2 linked regions of the Caenorhabditis elegans genome follow. The protein of the gene in region 1 interacts with the protein of each later gene in a biochemical or structural test. Each region holds a gene or a part of one and is shown on either strand. Other genes may lie near its edges.

What was found. The genes of interacting proteins can lie anywhere in the genome.
Region 2: the proteins of pph-5 (region 1) and hsp-90 form a complex in vitro, tested with the Caenorhabditis elegans proteins (one study listed by BioGRID).

Annotation. Positions count from the first base shown.
Region 1 is NC_003283.11:19,188,528-19,193,583, forward strand, and holds the start of pph-5 (Serine/threonine-protein phosphatase 5), read left to right. Parts: upstream 1-2,019; 5' UTR 2,020-2,027; coding exon 2,028-2,151; intron 2,152-2,209; coding exon 2,210-2,457; intron 2,458-3,088; coding exon 3,089-3,268; intron 3,269-3,937; coding exon 3,938-4,180; intron 4,181-5,009; coding exon 5,010-5,056. Other genes in the region: Y39B6A.3 (Iron-sulfur cluster assembly 1 homolog, mitochondrial), read right to left, coding at 813-965, 1,071-1,160, 1,237-1,324, 1,373-1,437.
Region 2 is NC_003283.11:14,684,464-14,689,041, reverse strand, and holds hsp-90 (Heat shock protein 90), read right to left. Parts: upstream 2,883-4,578; 5' UTR 2,879-2,882; coding exon 2,729-2,878; intron 2,682-2,728; coding exon 1,977-2,681; intron 1,929-1,976; coding exon 943-1,928; intron 885-942; coding exon 617-884; 3' UTR 503-616; downstream 1-502. Other genes in the region: C47E8.11 (uncharacterized protein), read right to left, coding at 122-283, 331-405; C47E8.4 (Protein FAM50 homolog), read left to right, coding at 3,565-3,673, 3,720-3,849, 3,903-4,002, 4,237-4,308, 4,358-4,428, 4,526-4,578. UniProt on the Caenorhabditis elegans protein: Molecular chaperone that promotes the maturation, structural maintenance and proper regulation of specific target proteins involved for instance in cell cycle control and signal transduction. Undergoes a functional cycle that is linked to its ATPase activity.

The DNA of each region.
Region 1 (5,056 bases):
CGAGACCGCACTGTGGCACAATTTTTTTATTGTGATTTTTAAACGGTTTTCGGATAATTCCACCATGCGGAATCCGAATTTTCAAGTTTTAGAACACAAAAACTACGAGAACATTATGAAAATTGAATTTTAAACTTTAATTTTTTTAAAAATCTAAAATTTGTGAGTTTTTCACATATAAAAAATTAAAATTTAACTTAAAACCGTGATTTCTTATAATTTCCATCGTTTTTCTGAATTTTCGAAAATTGTGTCCAAGTGGTGCAGTGGGATTTTCGCCGACTACCAATCATACCTCCGGGGTTCGAGTCCCCGCTGTGGTAAAAAATTTTTATTTTGATTTTTAAATGGTTTTCGGATAATTCCACCATGCGGAATCCGAATTTTCAAGTTTTAGAACACAAAAACTACGAGAACATGGTGAAAATTGAATTTTAAACTTTAATTTTTTTTAAAATCTAAAATTTGTGAGTTTTTCACATATAAAAATTTAAAATTTAACTTAAAACCGTGATTTCTTATAATTTCCATCGTTTTTCTGAATTTTCAAAAAAATGTGTCCAAGTGGCGCAGTGGGATTTTCGCCGACTACCAATCACACCTCCGGGGTTCGAGCCCCCAGCGTGGTCGAATTTTTTTGTATCTTTTGTATTTTTCTCCAAACAAGTTAATCATGCAAACTTCATATGTTTTTCACCTGAAAATTGCCAAATTTTCTGCACTATATTCAAATTTATTAGCATTTTTTCTAGAATGTACACGTGGAAATCACTACTAAATTATGGTAAATAGCGTAGCAAATCATCATCAAATCAAATACTAAAAGATTCTCCGCATCCACACGTTCCTTTAATATTAGGATTTCGGAAAACGAATTCCGACGATAGCTTATCGGTGACGTAATCCATTTCTGAGCCGAGTAGCGAGAGCTGAGCTTTTGGTTCGATCCACACTTTGATTCCGTCCTGGAAAATGGGAAAAATTGGGGGATTTTTCATCGAAATTAGTGAAAATCCGGGTTTTTTGTGATAAATTTGAGCTAAAAATCCAGATTTTGAGGCAATTTCTACCTGCTCAACTTCCTCGTCAAATTTCTGCTTATCCTTTGCATATTCCAGTGTATATGTTAACCCATTACAGCCTTTTTGTCGAACTCCGATCTGAAAAAATTAAAAATTTCATCATTTCCGGCGGCGCAAAAATCGAAAAATCGAAAAATCGACGGAAAAAACGAACTTTCAACGCATTTGCATCATTCTGTTGAGCCAATAACACGCGTATTCTGCTGACGGCTTCGTTGGTAAGTGTGAGAGCCGCTCTGAAACTTTTTCGGGGTGAAAATTGGCAGATTTCCGGGAAAATTCAGAATTACCTCGTTTGTCGGACTTTTAGCGCGCCTTTTATGACTTTTGCAGTTGCTCCACCGAATTTTGACATCGGAAAATTGAAAATTTAGTCGAAAAATGAGTAAAATAGCGAAAATTCCAGAAATAAAATGAAAAAAAAAAAAAAAGTGACAACGTTGCTCCGAAATCCCGGCCACGCGTGTAGTTTACCGTAAATCCAAACAAGAAATTTTTTGTCAAAATTGCCGAAATCAAGCGATTTTTAAGCTTTTTTTCTGTAAATTTTTTACGAAAATATGAAAAAATCAACGTTTTCATGCTATTATTTATTTTTCCCCTGTAAAAAACCTTTGAAATCATCGAAAAACCCTTAAAATCCAATAAAAACCCAAACACAACGACACTCCGCTCACCTCCCACCGCGTGTTGTTTACCGTAAATCCACACACAAGAGCAATTGTGCAAAAAAAAAAAACCCCGTCCAACCGGAAATTGTCCCAAAATTCTTCATTTTCTATCGATTTTCTTGCATTTTTTGTGTTTTTTGTGAATTTCAGGCTCAACATTTCGAAAAACACGGTTAAATTTTAGGGAAACCGCTCCGAAATTCGGTTTTTTTCGCTAAAAAAAAAGAGAAAAAAAAGAAAAAAAAAAATAAAATCTAAATTTTCAGGCTCCGAAATGGCTGCCACTATAACAGATGACATTGTGGCGACAGTTTTGGAGTCAATTGAGGAAAAGTCGTACGAAGATGAGAAGGAGAAGGCTGGAATGATTAAAGATGAAGCTAATCAGTTTTTTAAGGGTATTTTTTGGAAAAAAACCGATTTTTTGATGAATTTTAAAGTATTTTCCTGCTGCAGATCAAGTGTACGACGTGGCCGCCGACCTCTACTCTGTCGCAATTGAGATTCATCCGACGGCGGTTCTTTACGGAAACCGTGCACAGGCCTATCTGAAGAAAGAGCTCTACGGAAGTGCTCTTGAGGATGCGGACAACGCGATTGCAATTGATCCGTCATATGTGAAGGGATTCTATAGAAGAGCTACCGCCAATATGGCTCTGGGGCGGTTTAAAAAGGCGTTGACCGATTATCAGGCGGTTGTTAAGGTGAAAATTCACTTTTTTTGGGTGTTGAAGAGCGGAAAAAACGGCGGTTTAGAAACTATTTTTCACCCGGTTTAAGAGAAAATTTCGAAAAAATATATCAATTTTCACCTCCAGAAAGTCGGAAAACGCGAAAAATTTGAAATTTTGCTTTTTCAATTTTGGGCGCTGCTAAGACTACAAACTACAAGATTTTGGGCGCTGCTAATTCAATTTTGGGCGCTGCTTAGACTACAAACTACAATATTTTGGGCGCTGCTTAGACTACAAACTACAAGATTTTGGGCGCTGCTAATTCAATTTTGGGCGCTGCTTAGACTACAAACTACAAGTTTTGGGCGCTGCTAATTCAATTTTGGGCGCTGTTAGACTACAAACTACAATATTTTGGGCGCTGCTAATTTAATTTTGGGCGCTGCTTAAACTACAAACTACAAGTTTTGGGCGCTGCTAATTCAATTTTGGGCGCTGCTGACAGCTTTCGGCCGAAAAAATTGAAAAGAAATCGATATTTATGAAAAAAAAAACCAATTTTTATGAGAAAAACGTGATTTTTGATAATTTTTCTCTCAAATTTAGTATAATTTCAAAAATTCCCGTATTTTTCCCCGAAAAAATTTCCATTTTTTTGCAGGTTTGCCCCAACGACAAAGACGCTCGCGCAAAATTCGACGAATGCTCGAAAATCGTCCGCCGACAGAAGTTTGAAGCCGCAATTTCGACGGATCACGACAAGAAAACCGTCGCCGAGACTCTTGATATTAATGCAATGGCTATTGAGGATTCGTATGATGGTCCACGGCTGGAAGATAAAGTACGGGTGGAAAATGGCTGTGAAAATCGATTTTTAGACGGAAAATTGATGTAAAACCGGCAATTTTGACCCCGAAATTCAATTTTCAGAGCGGAAATTGCGATTTTCGGTGGAAAACTGATGTAAAAATCAATTTTTCATAGAAATTTGATCTAAAAAACGGTCCAAAAACATAAATTTTTGTGAAAATCGATCTAAAAATACGTTTTTCAAGGGTAATAGGCCAGAAATTCGAATTTTTTTGCGAAAATTAGTCCAAAAAATCGATTTTTCAAGGGAAAAGTGGTCCTGAAACTATTTTTCATAAAAATTAATTTGAAAATCTATTTTTCACTGCAATTTTAACCCAAAAATCGATTTTTCACAAAAAAAAACTAGCATTTCCGGTCAGAAAACGTGCAAATTTCCAATCTTTTTTGGATTTTCTGGAATTTTCATTAAAAAATTGGTCCAAAAATCTATTTTTCATAGAAATTTAGTCCAAAAGTCAATTTTTCACGAAAAATTCGCCTGAAAATCATTTTTTTTTCATAGAAATTTAGTCTAAAAATCGATTTTCCGCAAAAAATACAGAAAAAAAGTGAATTTTTCGTTAAAAAAAAGCGAAAAATTGAGTTTTTTCCCGTTTTTTCCGTAAAAAACCGCAAAAATGATCAAAATCCTTTTCAGATAACCAAGGAATTCGTGTTGCAACTCATCAAAACGTTCAAAAATCAGCAAAAATTGCACAAAAAGTACGCGTTCAAGATGCTCCTCGAGTTTTATAATTATGTCAAATCACTGCCAACAATGGTTGAAATTACGGTGCCAACTGGCAAGAAATTCACGATTTGCGGTGATGTTCACGGACAATTCTACGATTTGTGCAATATTTTCGAGATTAATGGATATCCATCGGAGACTAATCCATATGTACGGGGAAAGCGCTGAAAAATGAGAGATTTTGACTGAAAATCCGGGAAAATTGAGGAATTTTGAGCTAAAATTCATAAAAATTTCCAATTTTTGACCGAAAATCATGAAAATAGGCAAATTTTGTGATATAATCATGTTTTCTAGTGAAAAACCTCTAAAAATTGAATTTTTTTGCAGAAATTATTGAAATAAGCTCAATAAATCGACATTTTGATTGAAATTCGTGAAAAAATTTCAAACATTAAAACCAAAACAGCTGAAAATTGAGGAATTTTCACCAAAAATGCGGATTTTCAGATAAAAACCCTGAAATGATTTTTTTTTTCAAAGTTTTGGCAGAAGTCATTGAAAAATTCCGAATTTTTAGCAAAAAGCAAAAAAATTGCCAATTTTTGACTTTAAATTTATGAAAAATGCTCGATTTTTTTACTAAAAACCGCCTGAAAGCCAAAATTTTGTCAAAAATCTTGAAAAAGTCGAATTTTCTACAAAAAACCATCAAAATTTCGAAATTTTGACTTAAAAATCAATGCAAAATATTTTTTTTTCACTAAAAAGCTGAAAAATGCTCTTTTTTAATGCTCGAAATTTTGGCTAAAATTCATTTTAAAAAATCCTGATTTTCACCAAAAATTGGCAATTTTTCATCAAAAAACTTGAAAAAATTTCAATTTTTTGCTGAAATTGCAGAAATACCACAAAAATTACCAAATTTTGACTCTAAAAATCACGAAAACACCTAATTTTCACCCCAAAAACCCCCGAAAATGGCCAAATTTTCACTTAAAATATGTGAAAAATGCTCAAAAAATGGCCAAATTTTCAGCTTTTCAACGGTGATTTCGTGGATCGTGGCTCATTTTCCGTTGAAAC
Region 2 (4,578 bases), 4.5 Mb from region 1:
TGTCAATTTGAGCACGCATCAACAGATTTGCGTGCGCGGAAAGCGGATTTTTCAAGAGAATAAGCATATGTTCATAAAACGATTATCGAAAAATTTTTATTTTTAGAAATAAAATGAGAGATTAGACAGCAAGGTTTGGTGGGATTGGAACAATTTCATCTTCATCTTCTTCTTCCGGATTCCACCAACGAACATCCAACTTGCGTCCTTCGAAATCTTCATTGACAGGATCCCAGAGGTTATAATTGAAATTTGGACGTGGAGGTGGATTGAATGGCTTTTCCTGAAACATGAAAAGATATTAAACTCATCTCCAACTCATGTATAAACCGGTTCTGGAATGATGCAGCAAACAGCACTGGCCAAGATCAGGAAACATGCCAACTCGAATAAGATTGCAATCATGTTTCGTATAAACTAAAACTGTTTAATTTCCCTCGAGTATCTAAACTGTTCAAATGTGCTTCTTCAAAAGTTCACGTTTGCAAAAAAAAACATTGATGAAATTAATTACGGAACTTTATTTGGGTTCGATAGACAGGAAAACAATGAATAAAACTGTGGAGGGGCTTTTGGGGAGATCTTCTCGTAACAAATGATAAATTAAATAGGATGTTTAGTCGACCTCCTCCATGCGGGAAGCATCCTCCTCAGCTCCCTCAATCTTGGCCTCAGCGGTGCACGATGATGGAACAGCAGAATCTTCAATTTCGTCATCTCCGATATCGAGACCAAGCTTGATCATTCTGTAGATGCGGGAAGCGTGAGATTGTGGCTCCTCAAGGGAGAATCCGGAAGCGAGAAGAGCAGTCTCGAAAAGAAGAACAACCAAATCCTTAACGGTCTTGTCATTCTTATCGACCTCGACACGATCACGAAGTGTCCTGAAATAGCAAAAACGTTTGTGAATGTTCATTTTAAAATAGTTTTTGGGTAACTTACTTCATGATAGCGTGGTCTGGGTTGATTTCGAGATGCTTCTTGGCGGCCATGTATCCCATAGTAGAGGAATCACGAAGAGCTTGAGCTTTCATGATGCGCTCCATGTTAGCGGACCATCCGTACTCGGAAGTGACAATGCAGCATGGGGAAGAGACAAGACGGTTAGAAACTCCAACCTTCTCAACCTTCTTCTCCAAAATGTCCTTGATGACCTTGCAAAGGTTTTCGTAGGCAACCTTGTCCTCTTCGAACTTCTTCTTCTCCTCCTCGGTTTCTGGGAGCTCGAGTCCTTCCTTGGTGACGGAGACAAGCTTCTTTCCATCATACTCCTTGAGTTGTTGGACGCAGTACTCATCAATTGGGTCGCACATGTAGAGGACTTCGAATCCGCGGCTCTTAACACGCTCGACGAAAGCTGAAGCAGCAACAACATCCTTGGACTCTCCGGTGATGTAGTAGATTTGAGTTTGGTTCTCCTTCATGCGGGAAACGTATTCCTTGAGGGAAGTTGGCTCATCTCCAGCGGAGGTAGAGTAGCGAAGGAAATCGGAAAGCTTCTTGCGGTTAGTAGAGTCCTCGTGGATTCCGAGCTTGAGATTCTTTCCGAATTGCTCGTAGAACTTCTTGAAGTTGTCTTTGTCCTCGGCAACCTCGTCGATAAGCTCCATGCACTTCTTGACAAGATTCTTACGGATGACCTTCAAGATCTTGGATTGCTGGAGCATTTCACGAGAGATGTTAAGTGGAAGATCCTCAGAATCGACGACTCCCTTGATGAAGTTAAGGTATTCTGGCATGAGCTCTTCGCAGTTCTCCATGATGAAGACACGACGAACGTAGAGCTTGATGGAGTTCTTGCTCTTCTTGTTCTCGAAGAGATCAAATGGAGCTCTTTGTGGGACGAAGAGAAGAGCACGGAATTCAAGTTGTCCCTCAACGGAGAAATGCTTGACGGCAAGATGATCTTCCCAGTCATTGGACAAGCTCTGAAATTAATGGAATTATTGCCATAAAATAATTAAAACTAAAAATACCTTGTAGAACTCAGCATATTCTTCGTTGGAGATATCGTCTGGGTTTCTGGTCCAGATTGGCTTGGTCTTGTTAAGCTCTTCGTCTTCGAAGTACTTCTCCTTGATTTTCTTGGTCTTCTTCTTGTCAGCGTCGTCAGCGACGTTCTCGACCTCTCCCTCCTTCTTCTCCTCATCCTTAGCCTCGACAGCCTCCTCATCTTCAACCTCCTTCTCACGCTCCTTCTCAACCACAAGCTTGATTGGGTATCCGATGAACTGAGAATGCTTCTTAACGATCTCCTTGATCTTGCGCTCCTCGAGGAAGTCAATCTGATCCTCCTTGATGTGCATGACAATCTTCGTTCCACGGGTGACCTCTGGGTCATTGAATGGACGAACGACGAAAGAACCTCCTGCGGAAGACTCCCATTGATAGCTGTCATCATCGTTGTTCTTGGATGTGACGACAACCTTATCGGCGACAAGGAAAGCAGAGTAGAATCCGACTCCGAACTGACCAATCATGGAAATATCAGCTCCAGCTTGAAGAGCCTCCATGAAGGCCTTGGTTCCAGACTTGGCAATGGTTCCAAGGTTGTTGACAAGATCGGCCTTGGTCATTCCGATTCCGGTATCCATAATGGTAAGGGTCTTTTCCTCCTTGTTTGGAGTAATTTTGATGAACAATTCCTTTCCAGTGTCAAGCTCGGATGGCTCGGTGAGTGCCTAAAACCGATATTTTAAAAAATTGACTCAGAAGCGAAAAAACAAACCTGGTAGCGAATCTTGTCAAGAGCATCGGAGGCGTTTGAGATCAATTCACGCAAGTAGATTTCCTTGTTACTGTAGAAAGTGTTGATGATCAAGCTCATCAACTGAGCAATCTCAGCCTGGAATGCGAAGGTTTCGGCGTTCTCGGACATGGTTCTGGAAAAATATCAATTAACAATCGAGCAACAAAAACTGAATAGAACTTTATAACGATTCAATGAATGAAAGAGCACGCATGGCGAATGATTTCGAAACTAAAAACACATTATAACCTTATCTAGAAATGAACTAATTTTAGGCCTAAAACTATTGTTCAAAAACCTTTAAAAATCAAAAACAATGATCCGTGATTAACATAAAAGCCATATTAGTGAGAGGAAAACCAAAAATCTTCACCCGAAAACCGAAAGAACTGGGAATATCAGAGCTCTGAGGCGTAATTGAAGGTCTAAATTTTGAACAAGATGCGAAATGTTCTCGAAGGAGGGCGTGGCCTTTCAATTTGATTGGTTGGTTTTCAAATTGCCCTTTTCGGCGGAAAATTCTCGACGAAAATTGTCAATAGAGCGCGTTTTCAGCACCTGGCCGAAGTTTTGCAGAATAGGTAACTAGGCCACAAACATTTTCTTGTTTTTAGTTTGAATTGTTTTTTCTTCATTTTTTTCAGATTACTTCGTCGAAAAGACGTTTTTTTGGTATTTTTGCACCAAAAAAAAATCTAAAATTATTATTCTATATTAAATAAAATCCCGAAATAAACTATATGTCACTCTCAATATTGAACTCGTTGAAAAATATTGCTTTCATTGGTTTTTATTTTATTTTTGCAGTTAATAAAATGTCCCGCGCCGACGAAGGCCGCTTGATTCATTTGGCAAAGAAACGTGAGCGTGAAAAGGAAGATATCGAACAACAATTGCGAAAGCTTGAAGAAGACAAAGAAAAATGTATGGTGAAACCCCTTTTTAATTATTAAAACTACAAATTTTGCAGGCAGGGTCGGAATTACGAATAAATTCATGGCAAACTATGAAACAGTCGAAGAAGTCGTGAAGTCTAAAACCTATGGCTTGGTATCATTGGATGATATGAAAAATATTCAGAAAAACGAAATTTCAAACAGGTTCGATTTTCTACATTTTGGAGAGCCTCACAATAAAAATGTGTACCTTATAGAGATCTACAAGTGGCCCGGGGAGACCAATCATCTTCTACTCAATCTAAAGATTCACAAGAAGCTCGAGAAAAAGAAGAACACGTTGCAAAACATACCCAGGTAAATGTGAAGGATTGCTGTAGAAATTTGGTTGTAGGCTCTAGACTCGGGTAGCAGTTGTAGTTCAATTGACTAGAGATTTCTCGTCGAAAGAGTCTTTTATACCAGATTTCTAAAAATTTGAGAACTTTCGAGAAAGAAAAATTGAGGGCAGGTGAGAGTGTGAGGAAACGCAGATATAAAACATTTTTGTAGAACATTCGAGAAAAACTGTTTTAATATTGCTAATTTCAGAAGCGATTTTTATCGTTTGCATTTGATGACGAAGAGGACGAAGAAGATGCTGCACCAATTATCCCGAAAAAGGTAAGAATAATAATTAAAAAGAAAAAATTAAAGCGAAAAATGTTTGCAGCGCGTTGGAATGGACCCAACTGTCGACACAAGCTTCCTGCCTGATAAAGAACGAGAGGAGTTCTTGAGAAAGTGAGTTCTAGAAGAAAAAACAACGACATTTCAAATTTTGGCGGGTGTAGATCATCCCGGTGAACAAATAAATAAAAAATAATAAGTCTGGTTTCAGAAAGAAAGAATCATTGGCAGCCGAGTGGCGTGTGAAGCAAGATGCCGAGAAAA